Linked DNA regions of Macaca mulatta. The protein of the gene in region 1 interacts with the protein of each later gene in a biochemical or structural test. Links are inferred from orthologs where the notes say so. Each region holds a gene or a part of one and is shown in the gene's direction. Other genes may lie near its edges. The genes, in order: SNTA1, SCN4A, FRMPD4, SLC6A3, GDA, ABCC4 and KCNA4.

The links.
Region 2: the proteins of SNTA1 (region 1) and SCN4A interact in a test that uses a peptide from one of them, tested with the Homo sapiens proteins (2 studies listed by BioGRID and IntAct). The link is inferred for Macaca mulatta from reciprocal best matches to the Homo sapiens genes SNTA1 and SCN4A.
Region 3: the proteins of SNTA1 (region 1) and FRMPD4 interact in a test that uses a peptide from one of them, tested with the Homo sapiens proteins (2 studies listed by IntAct, with this or other methods). The link is inferred for Macaca mulatta from reciprocal best matches to the Homo sapiens genes SNTA1 and FRMPD4.
Region 4: the proteins of SNTA1 (region 1) and SLC6A3 interact in a test that uses a peptide from one of them, tested with the Homo sapiens proteins (2 studies listed by BioGRID and IntAct). The link is inferred for Macaca mulatta from reciprocal best matches to the Homo sapiens genes SNTA1 and SLC6A3.
Region 5: the proteins of SNTA1 (region 1) and GDA interact in a test that uses a peptide from one of them, tested with the Homo sapiens proteins (2 studies listed by BioGRID and IntAct). The link is inferred for Macaca mulatta from reciprocal best matches to the Homo sapiens genes SNTA1 and GDA.
Region 6: the proteins of SNTA1 (region 1) and ABCC4 form a complex in vitro, tested with the Homo sapiens proteins (2 studies listed by BioGRID and IntAct, with this or other methods). The link is inferred for Macaca mulatta from reciprocal best matches to the Homo sapiens genes SNTA1 and ABCC4.
Region 7: the proteins of SNTA1 (region 1) and KCNA4 interact in a test that uses a peptide from one of them, tested with the Homo sapiens proteins (2 studies listed by BioGRID and IntAct). The link is inferred for Macaca mulatta from reciprocal best matches to the Homo sapiens genes SNTA1 and KCNA4.

What each region holds. Positions count from the first base shown.
Region 1 is NC_133415.1:86,166,954-86,169,425, reverse strand, and holds part of SNTA1 (alpha-1-syntrophin), read left to right. Parts: coding exon 1-103; intron 104-2,046; coding exon of another isoform or gene 2,047-2,067; coding exon 2,068-2,264; coding exon of another isoform or gene 2,265-2,296; intron 2,297-2,472. UniProt on the Homo sapiens protein: Adapter protein that binds to and probably organizes the subcellular localization of a variety of membrane proteins. May link various receptors to the actin cytoskeleton and the extracellular matrix via the dystrophin glycoprotein complex.
Region 2 is NC_133421.1:73,858,637-73,862,136, reverse strand, and holds part of SCN4A (sodium channel protein type 4 subunit alpha), read left to right. Parts: intron 1-499; coding exon 500-976; intron 977-2,889; coding exon 2,890-3,025; intron 3,026-3,500. UniProt on the Homo sapiens protein: Pore-forming subunit of Nav1.4, a voltage-gated sodium (Nav) channel that directly mediates the depolarizing phase of action potentials in excitable membranes.
Region 3 is NC_133426.1:11,758,791-11,762,867, forward strand, and holds the start of FRMPD4 (FERM and PDZ domain-containing protein 4), read left to right. Parts: upstream 1-1,277; 5' UTR 1,278-1,780; coding exon 1,781-1,821; intron 1,822-4,077. UniProt on the Homo sapiens protein: Positive regulator of dendritic spine morphogenesis and density. Required for the maintenance of excitatory synaptic transmission. Binds phosphatidylinositol 4,5-bisphosphate.
Region 4 is NC_133411.1:2,557,005-2,561,099, reverse strand, and holds the start of SLC6A3 (sodium-dependent dopamine transporter), read left to right. Parts: upstream 1-1,295; 5' UTR 1,296-1,441; intron 1,442-3,537; 5' UTR 3,538-3,582; coding exon 3,583-3,868; intron 3,869-4,095. UniProt on the Homo sapiens protein: Mediates sodium- and chloride-dependent transport of dopamine. Also mediates sodium- and chloride-dependent transport of norepinephrine (also known as noradrenaline). Regulator of light-dependent retinal hyaloid vessel regression, downstream of OPN5 signaling.
Region 5 is NC_133420.1:103,212,770-103,216,269, forward strand, and holds part of GDA (guanine deaminase), read left to right. Parts: intron 1-115; coding exon 116-287; intron 288-3,500. UniProt on the Homo sapiens protein: Catalyzes the hydrolytic deamination of guanine, producing xanthine and ammonia.
Region 6 is NC_133422.1:89,940,992-89,944,491, reverse strand, and holds part of ABCC4 (ATP-binding cassette sub-family C member 4), read left to right. Parts: intron 1-278; coding exon 279-528; intron 529-3,500. UniProt on the Homo sapiens protein: ATP-dependent transporter of the ATP-binding cassette (ABC) family that actively extrudes physiological compounds and xenobiotics from cells.
Region 7 is NC_133419.1:35,236,975-35,239,461, forward strand, and holds part of KCNA4 (potassium voltage-gated channel subfamily A member 4), read left to right. Parts: intron 1-558; 5' UTR 559-1,340; coding exon 1,341-2,487. UniProt on the Homo sapiens protein: Voltage-gated potassium channel that mediates transmembrane potassium transport in excitable membranes. Forms tetrameric potassium-selective channels through which potassium ions pass in accordance with their electrochemical gradient.

The sequences.
Region 1 (2,472 bases):
TGGCCCTGCTGACTGAAAAGGAACTGCTCCTCTACTCTTCTCTCCCTGAGACCCGCGAGGCCCTGAGCCGGCCAGTCCGTACTGCCCCACTCATCGCCACCAGGTACCCATGGGCAGGGGCAGTATGTCTCCCCCAGAACTTGCCGGGAGATGCTCCAGCAGGGCCCCAGAAGCTGGAAACTCCAGCCCTGTCCACCCTCAGCTATTCCCCAGGTGACCTGAAGCAAGTCTCTGCCCTGTCTGGGCCTCAGTTTCCTTATCTGTAAAATGGGTGCTTGGAACAAAAGGACATAAGGTCCCCGCTAGCCACTCATTCATTGACACTTATGCCTTATGCTGCATGGGTCAGAGGGCACAGAGCTGACCCCAACAGTCGCTGCCTCCAGAGAGAACCTTGTCTGATTGGGGAGACAGACCCAGGAACAGCCATTACAGTGCAGAGTTTGTAGGAGCCACTTAACTCTGTAGGGGTAGTTGAGGAACGCTTCAGGGAGGAGGTGACATCTGAGCTGGACTTTGATGGATGAGTAGAAGTTTTCTGTTTAAGAAAGGGTGAAAGAGCATCCCATGCAGAGAGAACATCATGGTCAAAGGTACAGAGGCATGAAGGGCTATAGCGTGTTCATGGGGCTATGAGTTTGTGACAACCAGAATTCATGCAGGAAATGGAGAGAAGGGAGTTGGCAGGGCCTGATCTTGCAGAGCTTCTTTTGTCTGATTAAGGAATGTTAGCTTTATCTTAAGAGTTTGGCAGTGTTGAAGGGTTTAAGCTGGGGAGCGAGGTGCTCTGGTTGCTTTAAGAGAATCCCTGTGGCTGCCACGTGGAAAATGCAGCGGAGAGTGCAGGATGGAAGTGGGGAAGCGCTGCAGTCGTGCAGGAGAGATGATGGTGGCTGGGGGAGGTGGAAGTGGGCGGCAGGAGCAGATGGAGAAGAAAGGCAGCATTGGCATTGGAAACCACATGGGTGTAAAATTAACAGGGCTCCGTGCTTGCCAGATGGGGCGGGTGAAGGAGGGGTCTGGAATGAACAGGAGGTTTGGAGCTGGTGTCTGGGTGAGCGTGGGACTGGGGGTGGGGGTGGAAAGGGAGGAGGCTGGAGCAAGATGCTGAGTCAAGTCCAGAGTGTGTGTGGGATGGAGAGGGAGCTTGGATAGGAAGCTTGGGGACTCAGGGGTCTGCAGCTCAGGGCTGGAAAGTGGAAGGCTGGCGTCAGCAGAAGTCTGGGGGGGAAGTGAGCTATAGGAGAAAGAGTGGGTGAAGGGAGGAACAAAGAGGGATATGGGGCAGAACTCTTAGGTCTGCCCCAGAGAGGGGCAGTTGGCTTACCAAGGCCACACAGCAAGTGACAGTCAAGCTGCAGGGGTCTGAAGTCCTTGTCACCCATGTCTCCTTACCTCAGGCTGGCTCTGGCCCATGTATCAGGAGCCTGCTGGCTACTAGGGATAATTAGGTCCTGGATTGTCTACCTAATCAAGTGATTCAAGTCAGGCAACAAATGTTTATTGAGCCTCTACTGTGGTCAGGCATAGTTTTACTTAATGGGAATACAGTGGTGAACGCAAGATCAACATTTCTAACCTAGCTGACATCCTAGTGAAAAAGACAGTGAAAAACCAACAAAAACAAATAATAAAAAGTATAATTTCTGGTACCATGATGAAAAAGTAAGGCTAGTGAGTGACAAGGGTGCTATTTTGGACTGGCAGGCCAGGGAAAGCTTCTCAGAGGAGGTGACATTTAAACTAACATCTGAAGGAAGTGAGGGAGTGAGCCATGGAGATAATCAGGGAAGCGTGTATAGGCAGAGGGAACAGCATACGCAGAGGTGCTGAGGCAGGCGTGTGCTAGGTGTGTGTGAGGACACCAGTGTAGCCGGAGCCAAGGGAGCGACAGGGAGGGTGGCAGGAGATGTCTCCTGCTGAGTCAATCAGTGCCCCCTGGCAAGTCCTGTCCTGTTAGGTGGTAAAGGATTTACAGGGTTTTTCCCAGGTCATTGGCCCCTTTGCCCAGAACTATTTGCCCCCTGCCCGAGGCCTCATGCTCAGCCCTCTGCCCCTCACCCCCAGACTGGTGCACTCAGGCCCCTCCAAGGGCTCAGTGCCCTACGATGCAGAGCTCTCTTTTGCCCTGCGCACGGGCACGCGTCACGGTGTGGACACTCACCTGTTCAGCGTGGAGTCACCGCAGGAGCTGGCTGCCTGGACCCGCCAGCTGGTGGATGGCTGTCACCGGGCCGCCGAGGGTGTGCAGGAGGTGTCTACAGGTGTGCTGGGAGGATCTGGGAGTGTCCCTCTGGTAATGAGCCTCTTATCCCCAGGGGCATTCAAGCTTCCTTCTTTAGGGCACTTCAGGAGGGGACAGAAAATGGGGTTTGGAGGTTAAGGTGGGTGGATCACCTGAGGTCAGAAGTTTGAGACCAGCCTGGCCAACATGGCAAAACCCCATCTCTACTAATAATACAAAAATTGGCT
Region 2 (3,500 bases), on another chromosome or scaffold:
CCCCTGAGGTCAGGAATTTGAGACCAGCCTGGGTAACATGTTGAAACCCCATCTCTACAAAAAATACAAAGATTAGCCAGGCATGGTGGCACTTGAACTTGGGAGGCGGAGGTTGCAGTGAGCCGAGGTAACGCCACAGCACTCCAGCCTGGAGTCTGGAGGCAACAGAGGGAGACTCCTCCATCTCAAAAAAAAAAAAAAAAAAAAAAAGAACAGTCATGGAGAGAGTCCCTGTGCCCCTGCAGGCCTCCCTAAACCCTGCCTCTGCCCTGGGCAGCAGACTCCTCTCAGAAGCCCAAGACTCAGTTTCCCCAACTGCAGAAGGGATGATAATAAGCATCACCTCCACGGGCAGTTGTGAGCACCTCTTAGGTGGCATTTTAAATGCCCAACATGTGGTCGTTTGGATCTGTAGACCGAGGACCCCTGTGCTGGCTGAAGGTGGCACCCTCTGGGTCCCGGGGACTGATGTGAGGCTCCCCTTGACTCTATGCCCCAGGTCCTGAACCTGTTCCTGGCTCTGCTGCTGAGCTCCTTCAGCGCCGACAGTCTGGCAGCCTCGGATGAGGACGGTGAGATGAACAACCTGCAGATTGCCATCGGGCGCATCAAGTTGGGCATCAGCTTTGCCAAGGCCTTCCTCCTGGGGCTGCTGCATGGCAAGATCCTGAGCCCCAAGGACATCATGCTCAGCCTCGGGGAGCCTGTCGGGGCCGGGGAGGCTGGAGAGGCCGGGGAGACTGCCCCTGTGGATGAGAAGAAGGAGCCGCCCGAGGAGGACCTGAAGAAGGACAGTCACATCCTGAACCACATGAGCCTGGCTGATGACCCACCATCCAGCATCGAGCTGGACCACCTTAACTTCATCAACAACCCCTACCTGACCATACAGGTGCCCATCGCCTCTGAGGAGTCCGACCTGGAGATGCCCACCGAGGAGGAAACAGACACTTTCTCGGAGCCTGAGGATAGCAAGGTGAGCCAGGGCCGGGGCTCAGACAGACCCAGCTTCAAATTCTCCTGTGACCTGGAGCAAGTCCTAAGTCCTCTCTGAGCCTCCGTTTCTCCAGCTGTAAAATGGGGGTGGTGACCTATGGCATTGTTGTGAGCATTACGTGAGACGCTGTATGTAAAGCATGCAGTCAGTGCCCTGTGAGTGGCGGCTGTCACTATGGTTATTGGTGTGGTTTGATGATCAGCCCTGTCTGTCCGGAAACCCTGATTCTCTCGGTTCATGCCTGGACCAGAACAACACCTGGGTCCCTCTCACCAGCAGGTGGTGCCCTTGGACATGCTGCTCTTACCTGGGCACTGCAGCTCCAGGACCAGGACCAGGACCTGAGAGGCCTGTCTTACATGTTATCCTCTGGGCTTGAGGCCCCTTGCCCAGTCCTCACACTTACCCTCTATTTCTGTTTAGACCCCACCTGGGTCTGCTCCCAACTTCCCAGTGTGGGCCAAAGTGCCAGATCCAGGCAGGGGACTCAGGAGAGGAGCCGGGGCCAACGAGAGTTGGGGACAAGGAGGGCAGAAGCCTCGGGCAGGAACCCTGACCCCTCAACCATGCCGGGGGCATGCTGCTGTTCTCAGATGCCCCTCCCCACCCCCCACACTGTGAGGGCGAGGAAGGGAAAGGAACGTAGTGGTGGTCACCCCCAGCAGCTGGGGCTGAGGATGGGACCCTACCTGGGTCTTGAGCCCCCTCCCCCACTGTCCAGCTCTGGCAGGGAAAGGACTTGTATAGGCGCTAGGACGGGCACCCCTGCCCACCCCTACACCATCAGCCTGAGCCTAATGAACTTTGCCCGGAAAGTTTTTGACTCCTTATTCCCCCCAAATATGTGGCACGCTGGCTTACCAGGGGCCGAGTGCCTATGAGCTATAAATACCTAGGCAACTGTGGCACAGACCTCGGTATGAGGCACTCAGGTGGCAGGGGAGCTGGAGAGCACCAAAGTCCCAGGCTCCCCAGGGCCAGGGCCTGGGGACTTGTTCAAGGAGGGCGAGCACAGCTCCAAGGGGGATTTAGGGAGTTGGGTGCACATTCGGGGCAAGCAACTCAGTGGATGCCCTGGCTGACCTAACACTCTGTGCCTCAGTCTCCCTTTTTGTCAACTGAAAACAAGGACCCCCCCGCCACCACCATGGCGGTTTTCTGGTCACCACTCTGGATACAGAGCTGCCCCCCAAGTTGCCCTCTTCTTCCTTCTCTTCAGAAGCCCCACCCTCAGCCTTGAAGGGGTCCCCTGCAGGGTGGAGGCTGGGGCAGGGAAGCTGGCCTGGCCCAGCAGGAGGAGGTGGGAGGAGGCCTGGCCCGGCTGAAGCACCCGCCTCCCCCACTCCCGCTCCCAACACTGATCAGGTTCCCTTGGCATGGGATGGAGGCTTTGGCTGGGGAACATTTTCCACCCTTTCTGGATTCCTCAGCCAAACAGACCCTGGGGGTGGGAAAGCTCAGACGCTAGGGGCACCACACGCCCATGCTCTGAGGGCTGTGGCAGCCTGGCTCCATCCTGACCCCTTTTCATACCCCTGCCCCCTCAGAGCTACCTTCAGGCCCCCCACGCCTCCCAGACCCCCCACTCGGGCCAGGGTCCCCGCCTCCTCCCTCATCTGAGTCCTGCACATGCGTCCTCATGCCCTCACCATTCCTTTCCAGGCATCAGCCCCGCCCCACTCCTTATGTAAGTGCCATGCGGGCATGACCAGGGCCACCTATGTCCCCATGGGTCCTCGACCATCCAGGGCTGGATGAATGAATGAATGAATAAGTTTGCTCCTCCCTCTCTTCTTCCCTTCCCTTCTTGTCTTCCATCCTGCCCCATCTGGTGGGAGAATGAGGGGGTCTCTCAGGGACCCAGATGTCACATGACCCTGTGACCTCTGCAGAAGCCGCCGCAGCCCCTCTATGATGGGAACTCCTCCGTCTGCAGCACAGCTGACTACAAGCCCCCCGAGGAGGACCCTGAGGAGCAGGCAGAGGAGAACCCCGAGGGGGAGCAGCCTGAGGAGTGCTTCACTGAGGGTGAGGGCACCCCCCACCTCGTCTGGGTGTCTCCCCCAGGCCTGTAGCCCTTGCAAGGGGCAGGCTACACCAGGGCCAAAAGCACACGAACCTGGGGCTGCCTGGTCATCCCCGTGCCTCACGCGTCTAGGGGTGGTGGCAGTACATGCCCAGAGCTGTGGTGCAAGATCCATGCAGAGCCCTTGGTGCAGACCTAGCTTGGAGCGAACGTGCAAGAGTGCGGGTGTCAGCTCCTGAGATCCTCCCCTCCATCTTCAGGGAGCAAGGCCTTCAGGACATGGCACTGGAGAAATGTCGTTGTCCATAGAGCTTGCTGGGCTGTGCAGGGTGGAGACTGCCTGGGCGAGGTGGGGAGTGGGGCAGCTGAGAGCACCAGCACCAGGGCTGGGGGCCAGGAGGCCTTTCCTCTGCAAGCCGTTGTCACATGCTGGATCCGGCTGTGGAGGGAGGCCCTGAGCCCCCCATGTCAGCCAGA
Region 3 (4,077 bases), on another chromosome or scaffold:
AGTATGTATTCAAAAAAATATAATTTTATGCCTGAGTTTTAAGTCAGTTAGATTTTGCAGATTGCTATTTATTTTATGTTCAGTTTTTGAAATAAATGCTTAAAAAAAAACGCGTTAGTACTAGGCTTGAATACTGAAGACTTTAAATATAACAACAGACCAGGAGAGGAGCAGAAGTGTGGGAACTTTAAACCCATTTCTTACTTAATCCCCTCGGAGAGCTAGACTGGAACACTGGCTGGATCTTCCAACATTTCTGGGGGTGCTCTCTGTTCTTTGCAGTGGCCCTGCCGCCAGGTGAACGCTGCTGGTGGGAGAGCACACACTTAGTGCGGCCAGCTGACCTTCACAGTCTGGGGGGAAATTTTAAAGGATTGTGGACAAGAGGCCTTGAGACTCCAAGAGGAAGAAGAAAAAGGGGCCCAATGAAGCCTGAGCTTCCCAGGAGGTAGAACTGAGTTAATGAACAGGGCTGATTATCCAAGGTAATCATGTAAAAGAGAAGGCTAGGAGGAGTTCTAGATGGCTGCAACTTGGAGTTTACTCTGCCTAAGGTGAGTGTTTATGTTTCTGTGTTTTTGCTTCTCAGGCAAGGTTTTGTTAGGTTTTGTTTTGTTTTTTTTTTTTCTTCCTTGTTCCCTTCTCCCACCGCTCAGTTTGCAAAAGCAGCTCGCTCTGCGTGCCAGACCCCATTCTAATCCTTCTCTTCCCTTAGATTCCGAGCCCGGTTAGAATTAGCCTCTGCATCACAGGCTCCTGGGACCTTCTGCTCTATGCTCCTGGAGGAGGGAGCAGCTGTGTTCATCCCCCTACCCGCAAATGCCTCCGGTTCTTATTTGGCCGACACTCCCGCGGTGCTGCTGTCCAAAGACACACCTTCCCAGCCAGCCCAGTGGTCACGTCTCGCCCCAGCGGTTCGGGAGAAGCAGTGGGAACTCTGCGCTCCCCCAATCGAGCCCGCTGCGCCGGGCATCTCCCTTCCCTTCCCCTTGACAAACGACCCAGCCTCTATCATCCCTGCTCCTTCCGATCGCTAGTTTTGTTTACGGAGCAAACCGAGGCTTTGGGCAACCTGCGGTTGCACGGTTCTCCTTCGGCTTGGGGAGGGAGGGTTAGCGTTCACAGTTCTCCAGTGTGCCATAGACTGTTAGACCAGATCCTTCAGATCTGGAGGCACACGCAGTGGGTGACAGGAGAGTGCCCCCTCCCCCTGGGCTGGTGGGGGTGGGGAGAGGAGCAGGGACTCGGCTTGGAGAAGGAGGCAGGGAGGCAGCTGCAGTGCTGCGAGGGGTGCGTGCGCGTGTGCCCAGCTCGCCTGCTGTCTCCCGTTTCCCGGCTCCGTCTGCGCTCCTTGGTGCGCGGGGCACTGGGGTCCGAGGGCCGGGAAGCCAGAGCAGCGCCTCTCGCCCGGGCCTCGCTTTCTCTAGACGCCCGGCAGTACCCGGGGCCAGAGCGCACGGGGCGGGGCGCGAGACCCGGGCCGCGCTCCCAGCCCCCGCCTCTTGCGCCCTGCCTGGCTCCCTCTCCATTGAGTTTTCCTGCCGCGGGTGCTCATCAATGGTCCTGCTCGGGGATGCACACGCAGCTCGCGGCCGGAGGGTGGTAGCAGCCGCCGCCTCCAGGTGCAGGTTCTCTCCGGCCCCCGCCGCCACCCGCTGTCGCCGCGACTGGAGCCCTGGGCGCACTGAGGTCTTGGCCATGGGGCTGCGGAGGCTGCTGTTGTTGCTGGCGTGAGAAGGGGCGACGGAGTTGTCGCGCTCGGGGGTCCCCAGCTGCCTGCATGGATGTCTTCAGCTTTGTGAAGATTGCAAAGCTTTCGAGGTAGGGGCTGCGCGGGTTCCGTTTGCACCTAGGGCCGCTGCTGCGGGCAACTTGGTGCCTTATTTTTCGGGAGGCTGGGTAGAGGCAAAAGCCGGAAAGCGCGACGGGGCTTAAGACTGAAACGAAGTGGCCGGGGGCTGACACATTCAACTTATTTCTCACTGGCTGCTGAGGCTTGTGTAGCCACGGGTGTAGACCACACACAGAGAGGTACATACATGCCCTCACCAACACACCGATATTCACAACCATTTGTTTTCCCTAAGGAAAAGCCCCACTGGTGCTTGGGGTCCCATGTATCATTCAGGGCTAAGAGAAGGTGGTTGTAATTGCTACTGCTAGGGAAACCCAGAAGTGCTTGGAGCTTAGGTGCCTGCCTTCCAAGCTGCAGAGACCAAAAGTGCCGCCTTCCCCCCACTCCTAAATTACACCTCCACACCTCCACAGAGTTAGCGCCTAGGTTGACCAGGTGCTCCCAATGGTAACCTAAATGATGAGGTCATGGAGATAGAAGAGAAAGACTTTCAGCCTTTTTCTTTGTGTGTGTGTGTGACTATATTCTTAAGCCTCGAAAGATTTAGAAATTTTCTTCTAAGTGGCCATGTTGTTAAAACAGTAGCTAAAACTAAATCATCGATTCGGATATTTTTGCGTAGTACTGATAAAGGAGGAACATTTCCACGCTTGGGCCGCCTAGGTGTTGCCTGGCCAGAGCACTCCTCGAGGTCTTCTGCCTGCTTATGCTTCCAAAGTGTTCATTTGAGCCACAGAGTAAGGTCTGTGCTTCTTGCTATGTGACATTAACTGGGAAGAGCCCGATAGGAGCAGTCTTAGAAAACCATGCCCAACCTTCTCTGCCCCTGGAGCTCTTTATAGCAGCTACCACCAGGACGTAGGAGGTAGACAGTTGGGTTTTTCCAGGATGTAGCTTAAAAACTTACTTGCAATATGGACAGAACAATCCCAGGTTTTCCTTCAGTCCTGAGTGTCAGAGTGAGATGTGTTGATTGCATCAGGCAGGGATGAGCAGCTTCCAATCGTCCGAGGTAGAAACGTATGTTGACTTTGCTTTGTTAAATTACATTTAGACCACTTCAGAAAGGTTATGTTTGGATGTTGCCATTCTCTCTGACATCTACAGTCTTTGTTCTGCCTGCCCATCTCCACCTTCCCTTTCTACTAATATGGGCCGGTCTTCATGCCACTAGCAGATTTCCCCAGGGAGAAAGGCCCAGTGCAACTTACTCTAAGTAGACTGGAGATACACCGTTGATAGGTCTTAGAGCAGCTCAGGAAGAGGTGTTGTCCTACAGATTGGAAGACTGATGTGTTAAGCAGTGGATGATTGTGGTGTGGCAAATTATTTGCTTTCAAGCTGATCTCATAGAGGGCCATTGCTTCACACCACTATTCTATTAACTTCCTGCATGCTTCTGCCTAGGGCTAGTTTCTAAACAGCTGTCAAATAATGAACCATGGTTGGGAAGCAGCTGTGGGCAAGTTTAGAGACTGAGTGGAACCCTCTGTGTGATGGACAGAGCTACTGCTAAAGGGAAAGGGAAGTTCAACCAATAGTATAGTTCAAAGTAACCAGGATACTTTTTTGTGGCCTCAGATGCTAAAAACAGTTTAACAAAACATCTAGAGCCTTGGTTTAGTCCTTAAACTTAGGAACTTCGGAGAGCACAGTGTCATGTGTCAGTGAAAAGATGTTTCATATTCTTTTTACTAAATTCTAGGATGCCTACATGATATTCACAAATCTGAGTTTTTGCAAAACTCAAGCAAGGTTGTGGGGAGAGTGGTATCTTATTTAAAAGAGTTTAAAATTTAGTAAATGAATGTGAGTTTCACTTTCTATCCTTAATGTGATCCAGTAGAGTGTTTATTCTAAAGACAGAAGGTGCAAATGTTCTGAGCTGATGTGCCGATTAAGAAATCTTCCATCCATATAATTCTTCTTTTTCCTTAGTGTGAGCTCAAGGATGGTCCCCAAGCTGAGATAGAAATACCTTTAGAGGGTCATCAGCACGTAAAAACACATGTTTGCAGTTGCTTGTTTCTGCCTTGGGAGGAAGAAAGTCTTGTATGCGTTTTAAACACTGTTACAGAAATCAAGTTCTTTTCTCAAAGGTGAAGTATAAAAGTGCTTATACTGCAGGATTTTCCTGATTTCAGAATGGATAATCTTCCTAAAGGATTTAGCTTTGATCAGCATGGTTACTTGAGTGCTTAAAATTCTCTTGGTTTAGAGGC
Region 4 (4,095 bases), on another chromosome or scaffold:
GGGAGATACAGGGAGAGAACTGTCTGCAACCCAGAAGCGGCCCTGTCGGCCAGGACTTGGCCTTGGCCTTGGCCTGGGGACACCAGAACTGTTAGAACTAAAGGCTTCTGTGTGAGCCCCCAGGCTGTGGAGTGTTTGTCATAGCAGCCCCAGGGGATCACCAGGTTCCCACTTGATTCCAACTCAGCATGGAGGCACAACCCTGAGTGCCTTCTGCCTGAGTGCCAGCCCCGGGGTGAGGGGTGCCGGGAGTGCGGGGCACTGCGCTGCCGGCGGGTACTGCGGGGTCAGGCACCAAGGGGCCCTGCCTCCCTCACGGCTGAGCGCGGGCTGCAGGCTGGAATGGCTGGAGAGCCCCAGGGCTCGCCTGGACGCCCAGGGCAGGGTGCTCACGGGAGCACGGAGGGTACACGGGGAGGAACGCCGGGGTTTGGGTGACCCTAGGGGCGACACGCAGAGCTGGATGCGGCCACTCACCTCCGTGCCTTCTAAGGAACTGGACATCCTGGGCCTTGGCGGCCCGGGGGCTTCATTCCTCTGCGAGCTGAATGGAAGAAATCCCGCCCGGACATCTCGGAGGGAAAGCCTCGGAGTCCATTCGGCCCTGGAGCCAGATACCAATCGCCAGTGCTTTCAGGCCAGTCCTGGGAAATGGTTTTCTCATGCGACCGCGAGGCGAGCCCCTCGGTTCCGATGTAGGCGCACTAGATGCCGGCAAGGGGAGGACTAGGCTCGGCCGGTCGCCTCGAGGTCGTGGAGACCCCAAAGCCACGGAAGGACCCGCGTCTCCGCAGCCCGCACGCCGGGAAGCGTGGGGAGTCCTCAGCGGGGTCCCGAGCCCGCTGGTCAGGGCGTGGAGAGGCGGGTTGGGAGGGACGTGGTCCCTGGAGCGCGGGGCCACCGCAGGGGCCCCGGACGGGGAGGGAGGGAAGGGTCGGTCCAACGGGGTCCCAGCAGTTCCCCTCGCGCCGCCGCTCGGCTCCCTCCCCGTCCAGCTAGGAGCCTCCAGCCCTGGGCGTCCGAAGATATCGGGTGCCCAGGGCAGCCCCGAGGGGTGCGAGCGAGGGCGCAGGGCGGCCCAGACAGTTCTCGCGCGGAAGGCGCCCGTCTAGATCCGCGACGCCTAGGACCCACAGGTCCCCGCATCCCGTGTCCGAGGCTCCGGGACGCGCAGGACAGCGGAGCGGTGGCCGCCGCTTGCTCCAAGCTATCTGCGTCCAGGGGGCGGGGGCGGGGGCGCGGCCCGGGGAGGTGAGGAGGCGGAGCCAGGACGCCCGGGCGACCCCGACGGCGGGAGGGCGGAGCGGGGCGGACCCTGGCGACTGGATAAGAGCCCGAGGCCGAGGCCGAGACCGCCCAGCGCGGCGGAGCAGGAGGGGAGGCTTCGTGAACCGCGCTCGGCACCAGGACTCGCGTGCAAAGCCCAGGCCCGGGCGGCCAGGTGAGGCCAGGGTCGCTCCCGGCATCGGGGCGCGCCGCTCCCTCCACAGACCCCGAAGTGGGGCGCAGGGGCAGGGCACGGGGGCCGGGCACACTCTGGGGCCCCCGCGTCCCGCAGACCGCGCCGTCTCCAAAGTCGCCAACAGTCGCAGGTGCCGAGCGCCCCCTGATAGCGCCGCAAGGGACCCTGAGGCCGTCCGAGGCGCGAGGAGGGTGCAGGGCTGCCCCCTGGCCCGCCCCAGGCTCAGGATCGCGTGGGCACCTGGTACCGTCACCAGCTTAGGGGACGCATGGGTATCTATGGCTGTGACTCGGGGGTCCTGGTTTCTTCTCGTGGAACTTAACCCTACTAGGGGTGCGGCGCACCCCAGATCCTATCGAAGTGGGTTTTCTACACCGCCGCTCCGTCTCGCGGGGGCTTTGATTTGGGGGTAGTGGCGGGCGCCGGCTGCGCGCTGGCTGGTGCTCTGGGCAGGGCGGGGAGGCAGGGCGAGGGCTCACCAGGCAGGGCCGCTTCTTGTTCTGGGCGCGGCGAGGAAGGGCGCTTTCTAATGGGCCACGTTTGGCTGTGTAGACCCAAAACTCGCCTCTGAGGCCCCGCGTTCAGGAGCGGGGTCAGATGGCCCCAGGGCGGCGGCGGCTTCCCGGAGACTCTCGAGCTCCGCACCTGGCGCCCTCTCCCAACGCGGCCTCCTGCTCGCGCCGCGGAACCCCTTCGGCGGGCGTTTTACCCATAGGACGGGTCGTGAGGGTTGGGGTTGTCACCGGGAGGTACAGAAGCCGCCCAGCAACGGTGCGTGGCGTAGCTCGTGATAGCTCGTGGGTGAGGTTTTGTGCAAACTTGGATGCAGGGAAAGTTGCCTGTTAGAGCCTCTACCTGTGACCTGCTTCAGTCATTGTGTGTGCGCGCCTGTGTGTGTGTGTGTGTGTTTGTGAGTCTGTGTGTATCTGTGTGTCTGTGTGCGCGCGCGCGCGACTGAAACATGCTGCTGTTGGATCCAAATGCCAGAAGTCGCCCTGGTTGGGGAGGTGTAGACGCTCCTGCTCTCCTGCGCTGCGTTGCAGGGGGTTTATGGGGTTTTGGACAGGATTTCCTGGGTTGCCCTGCTGGCCCAGGAGGTGGTTCCCGCGATGAAGCCCTGTCCATCCTCTGCCCAGCTCTCTCAGGTGGGGTGGTGCCACCTGCCCTAGGTGGATGTGGCTTGTACACTCTTTGAGGAAACGATTGTGATGGTTATGTCTAAACTCTCCTTTACAGTGGCTGATTTTGCTTATATAAATTTTGCTCTTTATTACTGAGTATAAACAATACACGGCCAGGCTTGGTGGCTCATGCCTGTCATCTCAGCACTTTGGGAGCCTGAGGCAGGAGGATCGCTTGAGACCAGGAGTTCAAAACCAGCCTTGGCAACAATAGTCAGACCCTGACTCTACAAAAAAAAAAAACAAAAAACAAACAAACAAAACACACACACACACACACACACACACAAATAACTTAGCCAGTGCTGTGGTGCACACCTGTAGTCCCAGCTACTCAAGAGGCTGGAGTGCAAGGAGCACTTGAACCCAGGAGTTTGAGGTTGCAGTGAGTTGTAAGCACACAACTGTATTCCATCCTGGGCGACAGAGCGAGACCTCATCTTAAAAAAAAAGAAAGAAAAAGAAAAAAGAATACAGATGAACAGGCACAAAGACATTATTGAATGCTCTTTGAAGATTGCAAAATTGCTCTCTGGCAGTGTGGGGGAAGGTGGAGGTAATATCCATGCACTGTTATTAGAAAGCCAAGCTAGAGCTCACATAGCATTCCACATTGATAAGAGTGAGGAGGGGTGCAGGGGAAGGAGGGGCACACCAGAGTGTCTGTCTTGATGCCTCCATGGGCCAGTGCCCCAGCCCTGTGGTGAGGGCTGGCACTTCCCAGCTCCTGCACCCCAGCTGTGCCATCTCAGGCCCTGGGAATGCACCCATCCCTTCCCAGAGGAATGCCTATGAATGCCTCGGGGCTCTGCCCTCCATACCAGGCGCGTCCCTAGCCCTGGCTGCTGAATTGTTGCATTCCTGTTGTGTGTTTATTTTTCATATTGGCTGAAGACCAAGAGGAAAGAAGCACAGAATTCCTCAATTCCCGGTGTGCCCATGAGTAAGAGCAAATGCTCTGTGGGACTCATGTCTTCCGTGGTGGCCCCGGCTAAGGAACCCAACGCCATGGGCCCAAAGGAGGTGGAGCTCATCCTTGTCAAGGAGCAGAACGGAGTGCAGCTCACCAGCTCCACCCTCACCAACCCACGGCAGAGCCCCGTGGAGGCCCAGGATCGGGAGACCTGGGGCAAGAAGATCGACTTTCTCCTGTCCGTCATTGGCTTTGCTGTGGACCTGGCCAACGTCTGGCGGTTCCCCTACCTGTGCTACAAAAACGGCGGGGGTAAGTCCCATGTCAGCCTTTCTGAGCACAATGGCCAGGCGGGGGTCATGGGGGCAGCTGGGGCTAGGCCTTTTAGGAAAGGCGTGCACCCGAACAAGATAAAGCTGTTCCCATGCATGAGGATAGAGCTCCCTGTGAGAGCTCACGGCCAGTGCAGATCTTCCCAGAGGACGTCACAAAACCACAGAGCAGGGCTCAGAGCTGCCTGGTCCCATGCCTGCATTTCA
Region 5 (3,500 bases), on another chromosome or scaffold:
ATAAACCTGCGTGGGGTGAACAGTGAAATCATGCTTAGGAAAAAATGTGATTTAAAAAATACGGAAAATGAAGATAGATATTATTAAACACTTTTCTTCTCATCTTAATTTCCAGTGAGTTCTTCATGCCTGGGCTGGTTGATACACACATCCATGCCTCTCAGTATTCCTTTTCTGGAAGTAACGTAGACCTGTCACTCTTGGAGTGGCTGACCAAGTACACATTTCCTGCAGAACACAGATTCCAGAACATTGACTTTGCGGAAGAAGTATATACCAGAGTTGTCGTAAGTATCTTGTGTGTGAGTATGATATTCTGTTTGGTCATCTATAGGAGTATCAGTTTCCTAGGACAGATATAAATTATAAAGCATAGGCAGTTAAGCCTAAGATGGGCCACAGAGAATTTTTAAGTTTTTTTTTTAACAGTCCAGTGAGTTTGTGACCACTTTACCTACATAGCTAGTCAGTGGAAAAGAGAGAATTTGAATCCAAGTTTCCAAAACCCCAATCTGGTGGGTTTACGTTACTCTTTTACTTCCTGTGTTTTACTTTACCAAATTTGGGTTTACTGAATATGTGTGGTTCCCTACTCCTGCCAATCCATAATGCTGTTCTGAGGACCATATGGATTTGTTATGTGACCTTTGCAGAGTTATGTGACTCACTTTTCCCATCTGTAAAAAATAGAGATCATGATAGTACCTATTTCACAGGATTCTCGTGATAATTAAGCAAGTTAATATTTGTAAAATTCTTAGAATAGTGTCTGGCACATGGTAAGAGCTCTATTTGTTTGCTTTAAAAATAGCCAAGGAAATTTAAAATTAAAAATTTAAATTACTGTTAGAAGGGATATTGTGTTACTCTGGGAGCTTTGCAAGGAGGCACTTGGTAATGTGACTTGAGCACTGACACCACTAGAGGGAACTCTGGGGCTAGTACAGTCATTGAACAGTGGCAGTAGTGTGTGCCAGCCATATGTTGAAGGCTCTGAAAGTGTCCTTCCTTCTCCTCTTTCAGGAAAATCAGTTCCTTTCTTTGTACTCCAATCCTATGCCCAGAACCAGAATCCACTCAGGAATCAGGAACAGTTTCTGCAGTAAAGGAGCGAAAGCGGAAATGCCGCCTTATCTGACCGTTATGTCTTGGGTGTTCAGCGCACTTGGTCTGAACACTCATGGATTTTTGTCGGACCCATTGATTCCTCCTAAGGTGTTCACTACATGTGGTGGTGGCAGTATTATAAGCCTTCCACATCTACTGACCTAACCATCTTGCCAGTTTTTTTGGTCTTGCATCATTCCAGCCTTAAAGAGTAAAAGCAAGTGCTAACTTTTTTTTTTTGTTAAGACAGAGTCTCACTCTGTCACCCAGGCTGGAATGCAGTGGTATGATCTCGGCTCACTGCAACCTCTGCCGCCCAGGTTCAAGCAATCTCCTGCCTCAGTCTCCCAAGTAGCTGAGATTACAGGCACCTGCCACCATGCCCGGCTAATTTTTGTATTTTTAGTAGAGACAGGGTTTCACCATATAGGTCAGGCTGGTCTTGAACTCTTGACCTCAAGATCCACCGGCCTCGGCCTCCCAAATTGTTGGGATTACAGGCTTGAGCTGCCGCGCCTGGCCAAGCAAGTGCTAGCATTTATATACTTGCCTCACATAATTATAAATTCAGTGCAATTGTGGATCTTACACATTTAGCATGCACCACATGACACTAGAAAAGCTGAGAAGGACTAAAGCTGTGTATAAAGTAGCTGGCGCATTGTGTTAATGAATGGTGTTAACCACACCAAATCTTTATTCTCAAAATTTATTTATACCTCACATTGTTCTAAAAGAATGTGAGATAGCTGAAAATTACGTAATATACAACAAAAGAAAATGAGTCATGTAATAAAGGAGAAGAAAACAAGGGGGAGGGAAAAGTAAAATAAAACCAAGTAATCATTGTCTACTGTGGGGGTCCATGCATTTGTTAGTTTGTCATGAATTTGGCTTTACATTTCTAGAACCTGACCCAAAGAGGGAAATCAGTTACGAAATTTACTCTGCTTTTATGATTAAAAAACACATTTGTTAAGGTAAAGCATATCTATGCTTCATACTGAAACTCAAGAAAATTAATCTCAGTATTCCTTAGTATGGATAGACACTATGCTGTCAAAATATATATCGTAAAGATGCTATACTACCAAAAAGTCCAGATAGATCATTCTTTCATGTTTAGAGAGATAGAGTATCAAGGACTATATATTTTTCGGGCAATACTCCATATAAATTATTTCTGACATCAGAGATTTGTTCAAGTATTTGATGTCAGGCCAAGTGTGGTGGTGGTTTAAGTATTTGATGTCAGGCCTGTAATCCTGGCACTTTGGGACACCAAGGTGGGCGGATCACCTGAGGTCAGGAGTTCAAGACCAGCCTGGCCAACATGGTGAAACCCCGTCTCTACTAAAAATTCAAAAATTAGCTGGGCATGGTGGCATGCACCTGTAAGCTCAGCTACTCAGGAGGCTGAGGCATGAGAATCGCTTGAACTCAGGAGGAGGAGGTTGCAATGAGCCAAGATCAGGCCACTGCACTCCAGCCTGGGTGACAGAGCAAGACTCTGTCTCCAAAAAAAAAAAAAAAAAAAAAAAAAAAAAAATTGGAGAGCACATCTCCTATGTTTCTTATGTGTCTGAGAATGAATGAATGTGGGCCCACAAACTTTTAAGTTGGAGGCACTGAGGGTATGACTGACATCTGTTTAAGGGTGTTGAGATGTGTTAACTAGCCACATAGCCTACTCAATGGGCTGAGTTCAGTGGGAATAAACAGGAGTAGCTTTGGGTTTCCTTCCTCCCTTCCTTCTTCCCTTTCTCAGGGGTCTCCCTGTCCGGTCCCTTTACTGTAATTAGGGCAGTTCCTGAACTTTCTAGTGTTTTCAGTTCATTCTAGTTGTTGAAAGAAAAACTTCACACAAATTAAATTTAACAGAGTAAATTCAGCAAAGAACGATTCCAGAATCAGGCAGCTCTCAGAACCAGGAAAGGTTCAGAGAACTCTGCCCAGCAATGTGGGCAGGCAGCATTTAAGACAGAAAATGGAAGTGAGGTACAGCACCAGCTTGATTGTTACAGCTCTGGGTTTGCCTTATTCAAACTTGTTCTGATCACTTGGCACCTGTGACTGGCTAGAGCTCAGCTGCTGTGACTGGCTGAGACTCAGCTATTTGTTACAAAAGCATATTACTAATTAGGCTTTCAGTGAGTTGATATACTAAGTAGTTGAGAAGCGTGCTCAGGCCACATTTAGTTTACTTTAACACAGTCCAATCTGAAGCTGCAATTTCTCATTCATTAAAAGCTTCTCCCCACATAAGCCACATACTTCCTGGTTTAGGCCCGACACTGAGGAAGGGGCTTACTGTCAGTGTTTGTGTAGTGCTTCTAAATAGCCCCTGCTTTCCATTTTGATTTCATCTTTAAGATTGTAGAAAAGTGCTTAAA
Region 6 (3,500 bases), on another chromosome or scaffold:
CATCTCAAAAAAAAAAAAAAAATGTTTTTCTGGCTTTGGATTAAATATTTGATTAGTTGTTGCATTCCAGCACCTGGTACTTCTTATGATTTTCTGGGTAGTTCCTGGCCACCTCTCACCTTTGCACCTTTTTGTTGTTGTCATTGCCCAGGATGGTCTCAAACTCTTGGGTTCAAACAATTCATCCACCTCAGCTCCCAACATGCTGGGATTGCAGGCGTGAGCCACTTTGTGTGACTGACATCACTGCTTTTTTAAAAACCTGTACTCTCTTCTAGGAAGGAGATTTCCAAGATTCTGAGAAGTTCCTACCTCAGAGGGATGAATTTGGCCTCATTTTTCAGTGCAAGCAAAATCATCGTGTTTGTGACTTTCACCACCTACGTGCTCCTCGGCAACGTGATCACAGCCAGCCGCGTATTCGTGGCCGTGACACTGTATGGGGCTGTGCGGCTGACGGTCACCCTCTTCTTCCCCGCAGCCATTGAGAAGGTGTCAGAGGCAATCATCAGCATCCGAAGAATCCAGGTTGGTGTCAGATGCCATTTTAAAGTTGTAGGTGCATTCGAGGTGAAATGATATCTCCTTTTATTTAGCATCACTATGTTCCAGTGTAATGACATTTAACTCTTTCATAACCAAAACGTGCTGCCATTCCACAATGTTGTGTGTACTTCCTTATCTTAGATAGAGCGCACTAAAGACAATGCAAGCATTGTGATCATTTATTGGCAGCAACCTAAACAGCAGTGGCACAGGGCTTTTGATGTGCAGGTGGTAACGGCAGGTGTGATTAAAATGTTTAAGCTGTCTAAAAGGAGGAAAAGCAAATAGATTTCATCTGTTACGTTAACGCAAGTGAGAAAGTAGCGAGTATGGGTTGAGTATGGTTCTTCTGTGGGCTGGAAGGAAAGAGCTTGCTGAGGTCCCTGCTTCTTGGTCAGGAAGAATGGCCTCAACTTCACTTAGCTATCCCTGTTTGAAAATAAGTTCTTTCCTCTGTAGATGTTTTCCTTGTTAATTTTTGTGCATGCCTTTAGGATCTCTGCCGTTTCTTTCCTATCCTCTTTTCACTTTTTTCTTACTGTTGATGAACCTAACTCTACCAGACTTCTTTCTTTCCAATCGGTTGATTTCTGCTTACTGCCTTGCTCCGTTTGTACTATTGTAACAAAATACCTGAGACTTGCTAATTTATACATGTTAGACATTTATTTCTCACGGTTCCGGAGGCTGGGAAGTCCAAGATTAAGGCTCTGGCATTGGTGTCTGGTCTGGTGAGGACCATTCTCTGCTTCCCAGATGGACCTCTGTGTCCTCACATTGTGGAAGAAACAGAAGGACAAACTGGTTTAGTTCCCTCCAGCCTTCTGTAAGGACACTAATCCCCATCAGGAGGGCTCTGCCGTGGCGACCTAATCACCTCTTAGAGGCCCCACCTCTTAACACTGACCCTGGGGTGAAGTTCCAGCCCATGAATTTAGAGTAGGCATGCCCATTCAAATCATAGCATCCACTTTACACACCATCACCTTTTCCTCAGTAGCTGTCACTAAATTGCCAGGGGCAAATAATTTATATCACCAAGGTAAGGTCCTGTCACATAATGTATGCACAAGTATTTGTGTGTTTATGAATAAGTTGAAAATTAAAATAAATTGGCTTTGTGAGAGGGCTTGGCAAGACCTTGACTGTCTAAGCTTTTCAAAAATCTGCTTTGTTTTATTCCTGGTTCTTAATAGAGATGGATGCCCAGGGCCAGACTCGAGTGAACTTAGCTGACACTGGCTGTGATTATTTTTTATTTTTATTTTTTTGGTTGGGGAGAGAGTGGGGTGGGTATTATCATAAAAGCTAAGATTCTTTTTTATGATGAAGTTTGTTTTTTAAAGAAGAGATCTTGCTGTGTTACCTAGGCTGGAGCATAGTGGCTATTCATAGGCAGACTCCCACTACTGATTAGCAAGTTTGTATTTCGTAAAAAATATTACCTCTAAAACAGACCATACAAGGTCAATTCTTATCCTCATTCTTTCTGACAACAGCTTCAGGTAACACTGTGAAGGGATGGTCCATGCAGGTCAGTAACACTTTTTTCTTACAGCTTTTGCATCTTGAAAGAAATAACTTAGAAATATACTTTGACCAGAGTGTCTTTCTGAGTGTGCAGGACACCTTTTACAGATGGAAGGGCCACATGTGTATTGTGCTGCTGTAATTCTCTGACTGCTGTTGCTGCCCCTCACTGTGATTGCAGGCGCTGGTGTGTGTACTGTAAACCAGGGCTCTTGGAAGCCTTTACATGTTATTTCATGTTATCCTCACAATTGAAGGAGATAAGCATTAGTGTCCCCACTTTACAGAGAATGAAACTGGCTCCTTTAATAGGTTAAGGAGTTTGCCTGTCTTAGAGATGGGAATCTGTTCAGAACCATGATTTCTTAACCATTATTACGTTGCCTGTTGTATTAGTCTGTTTTTATATTGCTATAAAGAACTTCCTGAGACTGGGCAATTTGTAAAGGAAAGAGTTTTAATTGACTCACAGTTCAGCATAGGTGGTGAGACCTCAGGAAACTTACAGTCATGGTGGAAGGGGAAGTAGGCACTTTCTTCACAGGGCGGCAGGAAGGAGAAGTGCAAGCAGGGGAAATGCCAGAGCTTATAAAACCATCAGATCTCATGGGAACTCACTGTCACTAGAACAGCATGGAGGAACTGCCCCCATGATCCAGTTACCTCCACCTGGTCCCACCCTTGACACGTGAGGATTATGGGGATTACAGTTCAAGCTGAGATTTGGGTGGGGACACAGAGCCAAACTGTATCACCTATGTTGCTGCCTTAGTATCCTCTGGTGTGGGATATTTCCTTCAGTGTTCTTTTACTCATCCAGTCTTACTCCAAAAACCTTGAAAGGTTCTCTGTTTCCTGTGGAGTCCTATTTTTGAACCCTAGGTGTAGAGCTTACCTGGCCACATTGTGTGTTTCCCAGCACATGACTCATGTCTGTTTCTGCTTTGGGGTCTTTGGCTCTTTGTGGCTTGAGTGTCCTCCCTTCTGTCCTTGATTTAAGCAAGTGCTACTAAGCCCTCCGGCCAGGTCTCAGGAGCCTGGTGGTACTTTTGTTCCTGCTGAGCAAGGCCAGTATGGTGCAGCTCAGAGATGATGAACACATAATGGGCACCAAATGCTGGATGGACAGAAGCAGCACCCACAGCAAAAGGCTGGGACCCAATACAGACCCAAGGTGGTCCAGGCTGTACCATAAGCCAGAGGAAGGCTGAGTGAGGAAGCAGACTCGAGTTGAACATTCCCAGAACACCGGGCCCTGTTCAAGGGTGTTGTGAGGGTCCTCAGCTCTGGGGAGCTGGATCTTTTTCAGAGTGGACTGGATCGGAGTCTCCGCCTTGTTATGTGTGTGCCTCTGTGCATCTCAAACCCCACTGGACTTGGTCGACCTGCTCTTGTAAGAGAGGGGCCATGTCTGACATTAAATG
Region 7 (2,487 bases), on another chromosome or scaffold:
AGGTGACTGAAGTGCATTCAAGTGGTGCTGCCTGCATAAAGAATAAGAATACTGTTGTTGTTGTTTTTTTCTTTTTTCCGACTTCCCCAATCCTGAGTCAAGATAGAGAGGAGTGGAAGGGCACTTAATTCAGAAACACTTTATGAGTGGAAATTTTAAAAATTGCCTTGAAATAGATGAATGATGGAAGCAGCTGTAAAGTCACAGCATTATTTTTGTGAAATGAAGAGAGTGACAGTGAGAATTAAGACCTGGCATTGGTGAAGGGGAAGATAGAAGCAAGAGCCATGTGAGCCATGAGTGGAGAGAGGAAAAATAATTGAGTTACCATAAAAATAAACTGAGCTGAAATAATATCTGAAGAAGAAGGAAAGAATGATGTTTAGTGAGTGAGAATAGTGTGCCCCATACTCTTGAAAATGTATGGGTGTTTGGTGTGTTATGTGACTTTCTTGAAGAAAGAGAAGGATGTGTATATGAAGAGAAATGCTCACTTTGCTCTTTATGATTTGTTTCCCTTTTACTTTTCTCCTATGCTTGTTTCCAATCCTTTTTCAGGTGAAGTGCTGCTTCTGCATGATTTTGGCTGAAGAATGCTCTGCATTTCCTTGATTTCTATGGAGACCTCAGAGCTGGTTTTGCTTCTGCTGACACCTCATCTAGCACCTTCTCTACCTCCCAGGGTCTTTGCCTCTATCTATGGTTTGGCATCGTACCTGGGTCCAGGAAGCCTTTGATGAACTTAAAAGGAGAGCCTGCAGAATCGTCCTGATAGACTTTGAGTAGAAATGGCTGGACATACTTCAAACCACATCTTATTATGGTTCGAGCCATCACTAGAAGGCAAGTGCTAACAGTAAAGGCTTATTTGCATTTTATTTAAATTTAATGGACTGAGCATTGGCCAATTTCCATGGCAGAAAAATGTATTTCATTTTCTAGGCACAACTTCTGGCTGTCAGACACTTGCTGCCTTTGAATCTTGCAGCATCATCACTAACCACATCCCAGACATATTTCCAAATCTCAACATCTACCCCCAAAACATAGGTGTCTGAGACACTCCAGCATTTTCAGACTTCTTAGTCTTGAGAGTGCTAGGCTATTTATCTCGACCAGCCAAGCTCTGGAGAGCAATGTTGAATCCCTGAGAAGAGGGAGCATGGGGCGTGCTGATTTAAAAACAGAAAATGCAAAGTTGGACTGAAAATATCCTTAGTCTTCCAAGCAATCTGCTTAAGGGTTCCAAACTTACCTTAATTTGGTGAGAAAAGAAGCTGCCCTATTTTTCTTTCTTCTTCTTCTACAACTGGAACCAGCCATTTCCGAAAACCACCACCATGGAGGTTGCAATGGTGAGTGCGGAGAGCTCAGGGTGCAACAGTCACATGCCTTATGGTTATGCTGCCCAGGCCAGGGCCCGGGAGCGGGAGAGGCTTGCTCACTCCAGGGCAGCTGCAGCAGCTGCTGTTGCAGCGGCCACAGCTGCTGTTGAAGGTAGCGGGGGTTCTGGTGGCTCCCACCACCACCACCAGTCACGTGGGGCCTGCACCTCCCATGACCCTCAGAGCAGCCGGGGTAGCCGGAGGAGGAGGCGACAGCGGCTTGAGAAGAAGAAAGCCCACCAACGGCAGAGCAGCTTCTCTCATTGCTCTGACCTGATGCCCAGTGGTTCTGAGGAGAAGATCCTGAGGGAGCTGAGTGAGGAGGAGGAAGACGAGGAGGAGGAGGAGGAGGAAGAAGAGGAGGGAAGGTTTTACTATAGTGAAGATGACCACGGGGATGAGTGTTCCTACACGGACCTGCTGCCTCAGGATGAGGGCGGTGGTGGCTACAGTTCAGTCCGCTACAGTGACTGTTGTGAACGGGTGGTGATAAATGTGTCAGGCCTACGCTTTGAGACCCAGATGAAAACTCTGGCCCAGTTTCCAGAGACTTTGTTGGGAGACCCTGAAAAGAGGACTCAGTACTTTGACCCTTTGCGCAATGAGTATTTTTTTGATAGGAACCGCCCCAGCTTTGATGCCATCTTATATTATTACCAATCAGGAGGCCGCCTGAAGAGGCCAGTCAATGTCCCCTTTGATATCTTCACTGAGGAGGTGAAGTTCTATCAATTGGGGGAGGAGGCCCTGTTGAAGTTTCGGGAGGACGAGGGCTTTGTGAGAGAGGAGGAGGACAGGGCCCTCCCTGAGAATGAATTTAAAAAGCAGATTTGGCTCCTCTTTGAATATCCAGAGAGCTCCAGTCCTGCAAGGGGCATAGCCATTGTATCTGTCCTGGTCATCTTAATCTCCATTGTCATCTTTTGCCTGGAAACCTTGCCTGAGTTTAGGGACGACCGGGATCTCGTCATGGCACTGAGTGCTGGTGGGCACGGTGGGTTGTTGAATGACACTTCAGCACCCCACCCAGAGAACTCAGGGCACACAATATTCAATGACCCCTTCTTCATCGTGGAAACAGTCTGTATTGTATGGTTTTCCT